Linked DNA regions of Tribolium castaneum. The protein of the gene in region 1 purifies or fractionates together with the protein of each later gene. This does not show direct contact. Links are inferred from orthologs where the notes say so. Each region holds a gene or a part of one and is shown in the gene's direction. Other genes may lie near its edges.

What was found. Proteins that work in one complex are often made in the same cells at the same time.
Region 2: the proteins of rempA (region 1) and IFT43 purify together in Homo sapiens (affinity purification with mass spectrometry; 3 studies listed by BioGRID and IntAct, counting the BioPlex papers as one, with this or other methods). This does not show direct contact. The link is inferred for Tribolium castaneum from reciprocal best matches to the Homo sapiens genes IFT140 and IFT43.

Annotation. Positions count from the first base shown.
Region 1 is NC_087399.1:1,787,954-1,792,303, reverse strand, and holds part of rempA (intraflagellar transport protein 140 homolog), read left to right. Parts: coding exon 1-1,610; intron 1,611-1,991; coding exon 1,992-2,278; intron 2,279-2,329; coding exon 2,330-2,583; intron 2,584-3,121; coding exon 3,122-3,648; intron 3,649-3,692; coding exon 3,693-4,110; intron 4,111-4,159; coding exon 4,160-4,350. UniProt on the Homo sapiens protein: Component of the IFT complex A (IFT-A), a complex required for retrograde ciliary transport and entry into cilia of G protein-coupled receptors (GPCRs).
Region 2 is NC_087394.1:35,543,810-35,547,903, forward strand, and holds the start of IFT43 (intraflagellar transport protein 43 homolog), read left to right. Parts: upstream 1-1,274; 5' UTR 1,275-1,378; coding exon 1,379-1,420; intron 1,421-1,465; coding exon 1,466-1,614; intron 1,615-1,661; coding exon 1,662-1,688; intron 1,689-1,743; coding exon 1,744-1,857; intron 1,858-1,911; coding exon 1,912-2,101; 3' UTR 2,102-2,164; intron 2,165-4,094. Other genes in the region: TBC1 domain family member 12, read left to right, coding at 1-22. UniProt on the Homo sapiens protein: As a component of IFT complex A (IFT-A), a complex required for retrograde ciliary transport and entry into cilia of G protein-coupled receptors (GPCRs), it is involved in ciliogenesis.

The DNA of each region.
Region 1 (4,350 bases):
CTCTGTGTGCGGGCACCAACATTGGCCGCATTTATTTCTGGACCAGGAACACAAACAATGGGGAAAATCCCGAGGATTGTTGGGAGTTGAATAACGTAAATACGGTCAGCGGAACCGTTAAACAATTAATGTGGGGTTCTGTTCAGTTAAGACTCCCGTTATTGAGCGTTAATTGCGTCACGTGTGTTTACATAATGAAGGAACAATCGATTTGTACGTGTTTTTCCGATGAGGTTTGGTGCACGCAAAAAACCGCCAGTCAGGTGCTTGTCGAAAGCGCCAAAAGCAACGTTTTGTTGACTTTGGAGACACAAATCACTGATATGTGTATCAATGACACGTTTGCAATTTTCACAAATGGGAGACGTGTTCTAGTTTATGAAATTTTCTGGGATGGGTCTGACTCGGAAAAGTTCGAACTCAATACGAACATTTCCAAGCAGACCGAAAGTTCGGCCGACTTTTCGATTAAACTAATCAGCACGTTTGCGTGTGACAATGAGAAGGTTTTACTCCACAAAAAAATGATCGTTGTTTTGACCGCGAAAGCGGTCACACTCCGACAATTAAACGGTTCGGTTATAACCACCATCGTGTCACCCTCACACGAGGGCGAACCGATCGGACTCGACGTCACGGGGAATTACCTCACGATTTTCACAATCGAAGGCTACATGAAAGTGTACGAACTGGGCGAGAATGAGGCGAAACTGTCGATTCCGGCCCGGAATTTGTACGACATGTGCCCGGACTTTGGCGAAATAATCCAGGCGAAAAGCAACTCAAGCGGCAATAAAATCGCCCTGACTTTAGCCGCGGCCAATCTAGTGCCCGATGGGCGCTTGTACGTCTGGGACGTGGAAAACGACAATTTGCTATCGTACGATTTCCACAAGTACGGTAACTTTGATTTGGAGCAAAGTCCGGACGAATTCAGCGTCGACGAACGAACCGAACAAAACGATTCGTCAAACGACGACGAAACCGTTGCGGTTTTCGACGAAATTTGCTCGAATCGCATCCCTTTGCACTTGTTTTGGGACGCTCATGACCCGCGATTATTAATCTGTGATGCGAAAAAAGTCAAGTTAGGCTTGGGTGAGAAAAAATTGAAACGGTCGCGGTCTGATACCAAAACTACGCTCAAGGATCAGGACCATATTATTATAACGATGTTTGTGTCGTCCGAACACGGGATTAAAATGCACGATATCAGGGGTGTGGAGGCTGAGAGTCGGTTACTGGCCTTGGCTACGCCCTATTTGGTGATTTTGGAGAAGTTGGTCATAGTTCGGGACGTTATGAGTGATTTTAACGGGCTTGAAAGTTGTAATAAGGAAACGCGCGATGCTGTTTTGAATTTTAGTTATAATTTGAGTCTTGGTAACATGGATGAGGCCTTTAAGGCGATTAAATTGGTGCAAAATCCGGGCGTTTGGGGTAGTTTAGCGAGGATGTGTGTCAAGACGAGGCGTTTGGATGTGGCTGGGGTTTGTCTGGGGCATATGGGCAATGCACGGGCTGCGATGGCACTCCGAGTGGCTGTGGCTGATTATTCGTTGCCACATGAGGCGAAGTTGGCCGTTTTGGCCGTACATTTGGGGATGCTTGTAAGTGAATCCGTGAAAAAACCCACAAAAAAATTCACATGGATCACGGACGTGACACAAATGAGGCTTTGAATTTTTATCGTTAAATATTTTTGTTAAAATTCTGTTAACTTAAAAGGCACTAATTCAAACTATTTTTTACAAATTTACTATTTGTTTACATATGACGGATGGGACAAAAAATCTTGTGTGTGAAAATAACTCTAAAAAAATTATTTATGTAGTGAAAATTAAAATTTCTTGGCGTTGTTTAACGACGTAAGAAATAAGAGCAACATGTATGTTTGTAATAACGGACGGGACAGCAAAATTTTTTCTTTGTGGGTTTTTTCTTGTGCGCGGTTTTTTTCCGGTAGTGGTTTTTTTACCAAATTTTTGAAGGACGAGGCCGAGCAATTGTACATCCAATGCCAGCGTTACGACCTTTTGAATAAATTGCTCCGAAGTCGGAATAAATTCGACGCTGCTCATGCCATTGCAGAATCGCAAGATCGCATCCATTTGAAAAACACTGACCACGCGTGGGGTAAAGCCCTTGAAGCCGTGGGGGATTTTAAAGAGGCGGCTGTTCGTTACGAAAAGGCCAACACTCATAAATTCGATGTTCCAAGAATGCTTTTAGATCAACCGCAACAACTTGAAACTTATATGGGAAAAACTAAAGACCCGTATGGAGAAGTTGGGGTTTGTTGTTAGTGTGATGATTTTTTGTTTTTTAGTGATTTGCTTAAGTGGTGGGGTCAGTATGTTGAGTCTCAAGGGGAGATGCAAGCCGCCTTGAAAATTTATAGTAGTGCAGGTGATGTTTATTCGCAAGTGAGGGTGCTTTGTTTTCTTGGGGAGGAAAGTAAAGCGGCTGAATTGGCAAGGTCGGGACGGGATAAGGCCGCCTTTTATCACATGGCTAGGTTTTACGAAACGACAGGGAATTTTGAAGAGGCTGTGAATTTTTTCACAAAGGCTAACGCCTACAGTAAGTTTAGAAATTTTCATTTTTTTTTATTTTCTCAATTACGGCAAAACTATTCGAAAAAGTGGAACTATTCTGATGTAAATCTACGTAAAACGATCCGGGGAATCGATTGGCATCGAGAAAATCGCGAAGTTAGCAATAGTTTTTAAGTTATGAATTTTTTCAACTTGGCGCATCCACCATTTTTCACGTTGGAATAAGTTCTTTTAAATAAATTCTGGAATAAGTCAGTGTTGGAACAATGGTGGTATAATACGTAAAATGAGCCGCTGAATTCAATGGAACAAACCGCATTGCTCTACGACTTTTAGTTTTTGAGTTATGAATTTTTTAATAATTAGCTCGGCGCATCCACCATTTTTCATTTCAAAATAACCTTTTAACTAAGTTCTTGAGCAGGCTAGTCTTGGATAAATGCCGGTATAATATGTAAAATGAGCCGCAGAATCCAATGGAACAAACCGTTTGGCTTTATGTCTTTTAGTTTTCGAGTTATGATTTTTTTTTTTGATATTTGGACAGAATAATTCTTTCCTAGGTAACGCGGTCCGACTTTGCAAAGAGAACCACATGAGCGACGAATTATGGAACATCGGCTCTGTTGCCGGAACTCGCGAAAAACTGGAATGTGCGCGCTATTTCGAGGAAATTGGGGCCCTTGACAAGTCGGTTATTTTATACCACAGGGCCGGAATGCTGCACAAGGCCCTCGACCTTGCATTTAAAGCCCAACAATACGACATTCTCCAACAAATCGCCACAGACTTGGACGCTGATAGTGACCCAGCTTTGGTGCAAAAATGCGCCGATTATTTTGTAACAAACGAACAGTTCGACAAAGCTGTTGATTTACTCGCAATTGCGAAAAAATACAAAGAGGCGATCACGATTTGTCTGACACATAACGTGCAACTGACTGAAGATTTAGCCGAAAAGTTAACACCTGAGAAAGACCAACTGGAGGAAGCGGACCGTGTTAATGTCTTGCAAACGTTGGCTGAAAGTTTAATGTTGCAAGGCAATTACCACTTGGCCACGAAAAAATTCACACAAGCCGGCGATAAGGTGAGAATAAAAAATTGTTGGTTGCCGTTTTAGAACTGTTTTAGATTCGGGCAATGAAAGCGTTGCTAAAAAGTGGCGATACCGACAAAATCATTTTTTTCGCGGGCGTTTCGCGCCAAAGAGAGATTTACATAATGGCAGCGAATTATTTACAATCGCTGGATTGGCAAAATAATCCCGAGATTTTACGCAACATTATTACGTTTTATTCGAAAGGCAAAGCTTTGGATCTTTTGGCCAATTTTTACGTGGCTTGTGCACAAGTCGAGATTGACGAATTTAAAAATTACGAAAAGGCGTTTGGGGCCTTGACTGAGGCGTCGCGGTGTTTGGCTAAAATAGGCAATCCCAGGGACTCAAGCCAACATCAGAGAGCGACCGAAATCGTCCAACAAAGACTCACAATGATTAAGCGGTTTGTTGATATTAGGAGATTATTTGATCGGGGGGATTACCAAGCCGGTAAAAATTTAACTAGGTTTTTGCCCAATTTTTGCGTTTTTTATCGTAGGCATTGCACAATGTCGCCAGTTGTTAATGACCGGAGGCAAGGAATTGGAAGAATCGGTTCGCAGGGGCGATATTTGTGCCCTAATGATACAGGAGTACATCAAAAGTGGGAATTTTACCGAAGCTAAACAATTACTAGGGGAATTGAAACAGTTATTGTTCAGTAGTGGGAACACACCGATTACTTACTAC
Region 2 (4,094 bases), on another chromosome or scaffold:
ATATAGCCTTTCTGTCAGGTAATAAAATTCCAATTGTTTTTATAAGAGATATTTATTTAGGTGTTGGTTTTGTGAAAGAAACTCAATTAAGTAATACTTGAACTAGATGAAAGGAAAACAGATTTGTATGTTAGTTTTTAGCTTGAAATGCAGTTTTGCAGTATAATTATATCATATTTATTTCCGTCCAGTTACATAATTACAGAATCTCGTTGAAGGTGCTTATGCATTTTCTGACTGTTTCAGGTGAATATACTTTTTAACAAACGATAAATTACGCTTGAAAGTATCGTTTACTCTTTATCTTCTCTAACTTGCCATTGTCTTTGTTTGATACTATGTGTAATTACGAAAACAAATTTTTGTCATTTTTAAAGATGGTTTTAAACTTTTTTTTAGATAAACTTATATATGTAATGTTCATATTTAACAGAGTTACATTTTAGTCAAAGGCTGTGTAAAATTATGATAAATCCATTGTTGGCGACATTGTGTTAAGGTTGGTAAAGATTTTAACATTTCTCAATTTGGTGTTGTAGAACGGCCATCCTTAATGTAATTTCCTTGTTGGCTGTCTGAATAATTAAAAAAATTAAAAGTAATTGTGATTTTAAAGTTTTCAATAGGAAGTTTGCAGTAAGTTTTTGTTGTGTGTCTCATCGTAGCAATAATTATATGGTTCATCTGTACAATATAAAAAATTTAATGCAAACTCCTGAATTTATTTTAGCAGTGGTAAAGTCGTACAGAGGATATACCGTTTTTACACCTTTTTCTGATAATTAACTTTAACTAATTTTTATGAACCATTATATCTAGACTCCAGTAAGGATCTAGGATGTAAAAACGGTCATTCTTTGGTACGGCTTATACGAGTATGTATGTATATAAAAACGCTGAAACAACTTGTATCTATGAAAATGCTTCATTTTATTTTTTGTAATTTTAAGATAATATGCATAATTTATTAAATAATTTATCGATAGCAAGTGACTAAAATAATATGACATTTGTAAAATGACATTTGTTCTTTTAGGGATCTTGTAGATATTCGCTTCTTTTAAAGTTACAGGCATGATTATGATTTATGAACTGTTTGTATTGTTAACATTTAAGTAAGATTATTTTTTTTATTCGTATACAATGGAAATTAAGATATTGAATTGATATGTACATTTTATAAAAAATAAAACAGGAAATGTACCTGACTGTACCTTATTTATTTGGACTAAAAAAGCAGTCGCCCAATAAAAGTTTTAACATTGAGACATTTTAGTTTTTAATGTTGGTGTCATTGGTTATCATGGTGGCTGTTTAATGTTTATTCTAACCCAACTTGTAAATTAATTGATTTTTGTTGAATACAAACAAATCTAGCATGAATTGGGACGAAGACATAGACTTACTTCCAAATAAGAAAGTAAGTTTTATGTTTTTGAAAACTGATTATTTAACTATAGGTTAGTCTGCTACTAAACACGGACGGCGGGCAAGCAATGCTCCTGCAAGTCCAGAAGATCAGCCACAAAGTTCAACCAAAAAAACGCCACCAGAAGTGCCTATAAGAACTAGGAAAACTGGGGGATGGGCTGATGAGGGCGTAAAATCTGCAAAGTAAGTTTTATTGAAATCGCAAGTGAGAAGTGCTCACAAACTTTTAGGGTGAAAGGATCAAATATAATTGAGCAGTAAGTGTGCACTTTGAAGTAATATTTTGGTAAAATTATTATTAAATAACGTTAGAGAACGCTTTCAAAATGAAAAACCACAAGATTCTGAGGATGATATTCCAGTAATACCTGACATTGATGATATTGCCGATGATCCACTTAATTTGCCTGATGTAAAGGTCCCTAAGTGAGTAAAACAGTAGGAAAATGTTAATTATTTAATTTGATTATTCTCGTGTAGCATAACTGTGAAAGAATCAACTTATAAAGAACTGGATAGTCAGTTTGAAACAGGCCAACCAAATTTTGGAAATATTGGAGATGTAGACTTGTCTATTTTAACAAGCAGACTTTATCCAGAGAAAGATGTTCAAAGATGTACGGAAGTGTGGACTATGGAGTCATTGTATCAAGACCTTACGAAACAATGACTTCATCGTAACTTTTTTTACATTTTTTTTCCACAAGGATGTATTTATGCACACATTTTGCAGGTCAGAGCACTTTTAAATTAATTTTATTCATTATATATTTTACAATAAGTGCCTAAATATAAATGTACGTTGTTAAAAAAAGCCTTAGTCAGTATTTCTGTGACAAATATTAGAAAACTGACTCCGAGACCAGTCGCCAGAAACCAGAAAACATGTTTGAGGTGATGGAATTTTAAAACGTTTTCATTATCAGACGAAAAACTATCATAATTATATTTTGGAACGTCCTTAACCACCTTGTATTGCTGTTCTCGTAACAACCACTCGCTGATTTTGTCCAAATAAGGGGAATGTTTCTTAAAAATATACGTACTATGACTCGGCACTAAAACTTCTCTCATTACATAAAAGACAGTTCGCTTATGTTCATTTCTCATCATAAGTTCGATACTTTTTGCCGAACTCCACGACAAGCCATAAGCTCCAGACGTGTTCAAATCATTGTAGATCATCTCGGTCCTTTTTTTCCTATTATCGAGATAAATAAAACGTTTGCGAAGACTGTCCTCTTCGGAAATTCGGTTAGCCAAAGGATGCGAAATGTAAATTTGTATTTGGCTTTGCTCTAATTCCTCAACCGAATTTATTTGATTACTCGGATTTGCTGTCATGAAATTAGTAATCAGGAAACACTGAAATGCCGTTCTGAAGATAATTGAGCCAAAAATAAAAACACAAATTTGTATTTTTGCACTGCAACGTTTCTTATTCAGGTTGGGAAAGGGGTAACCCAAAAGACTCGAATAAATGTATAACACTGTCACAAGAAGCAATTTTCGGAAATTACTTTCGCCCAATAGTGACGTAATTGAAACTGTTACAATTACCACTAAAAAAAGTATCATGGGAATCACCTCGAACAGGATAACAGTGGCAGAACTAGACGTTTCGTTAAACGGCAACAAAATTGCCAAACCATTGATTTCATGGGGGTACGTAAATTCTGCGTTTTCGTACGCATGAGGGCCTCTGAAATGACTAACGAAGCAAAAATCTGTCAGCCCGTTTAAAATATCGTTGTAACACCCTTGGTAGTGCGTATTTTCAGGTGGTTCGATAATTTGGAACGTTGAGTTTAGCTTTTCTGTGACCATTTCCAAAACATTGTAGTCTCTCCCTATCCACTTGTTGTCCGATTTGTTTACAAGAGGGAAGTTTATGAAAAAACCGACTCTGAGGTTGTAACCATGCAAATTTTGCAATTTGTTCGGAAAATATCCGGGAGTGTGGGTCAGATTCAAAATTCTATCAATAAATGGATTGTACGTAAAAATTTGCAACGTCTCTTGCACAAAAACAACAACGAAATTAAGTATGTGGTTTTTCCATACAGTTTTCACAAAGTTTTGTAAAAACGCAACCGAATCAATTCGTTTACAAATTATGAGGTGTGTCTCGCCTCTCACATTCCAAAGTGTGTAGTTCTGTATCCGTTGTATATCTCTTTCGATTTCGTTCAGATCTTCGATAAAGATAAAAGCAGCTTGCGTTTTGGACATTATGCTTGTTTCGGTAAAAAAATCACTTATGGTGAGCGATGGACATAAGTTACGCTTGAGGAAGTCGTCGGAAATGTGTCTCGTGTCTGGTAAATTAACATTAAAGTAGCTGCAAGATGTGTAATTTCCAAATAATTGATATTTGTTCAAATGGTTTTTTACAAAGTCGTTTTGAAAAATGGTTTTAGAGGGGTAAAGTAGTGCCAAGAAGAACAGTAATGTGGCACACATAACGTTTGTCATTATCATTGGGAGGTATATTAAAAAAACGTGTTAGGATAATGTTTTCGGTTAAAAGGAAGCCACGTAATTGGGGGCTATTATTTTTATTGCAAGTAATAACATACAGTTTTATAAAATCGATATTGGTCAGTTTAGTGAAATTTTATGTTATTTCACTAATTATCCAAAATTTATCCGCAATTATAGAT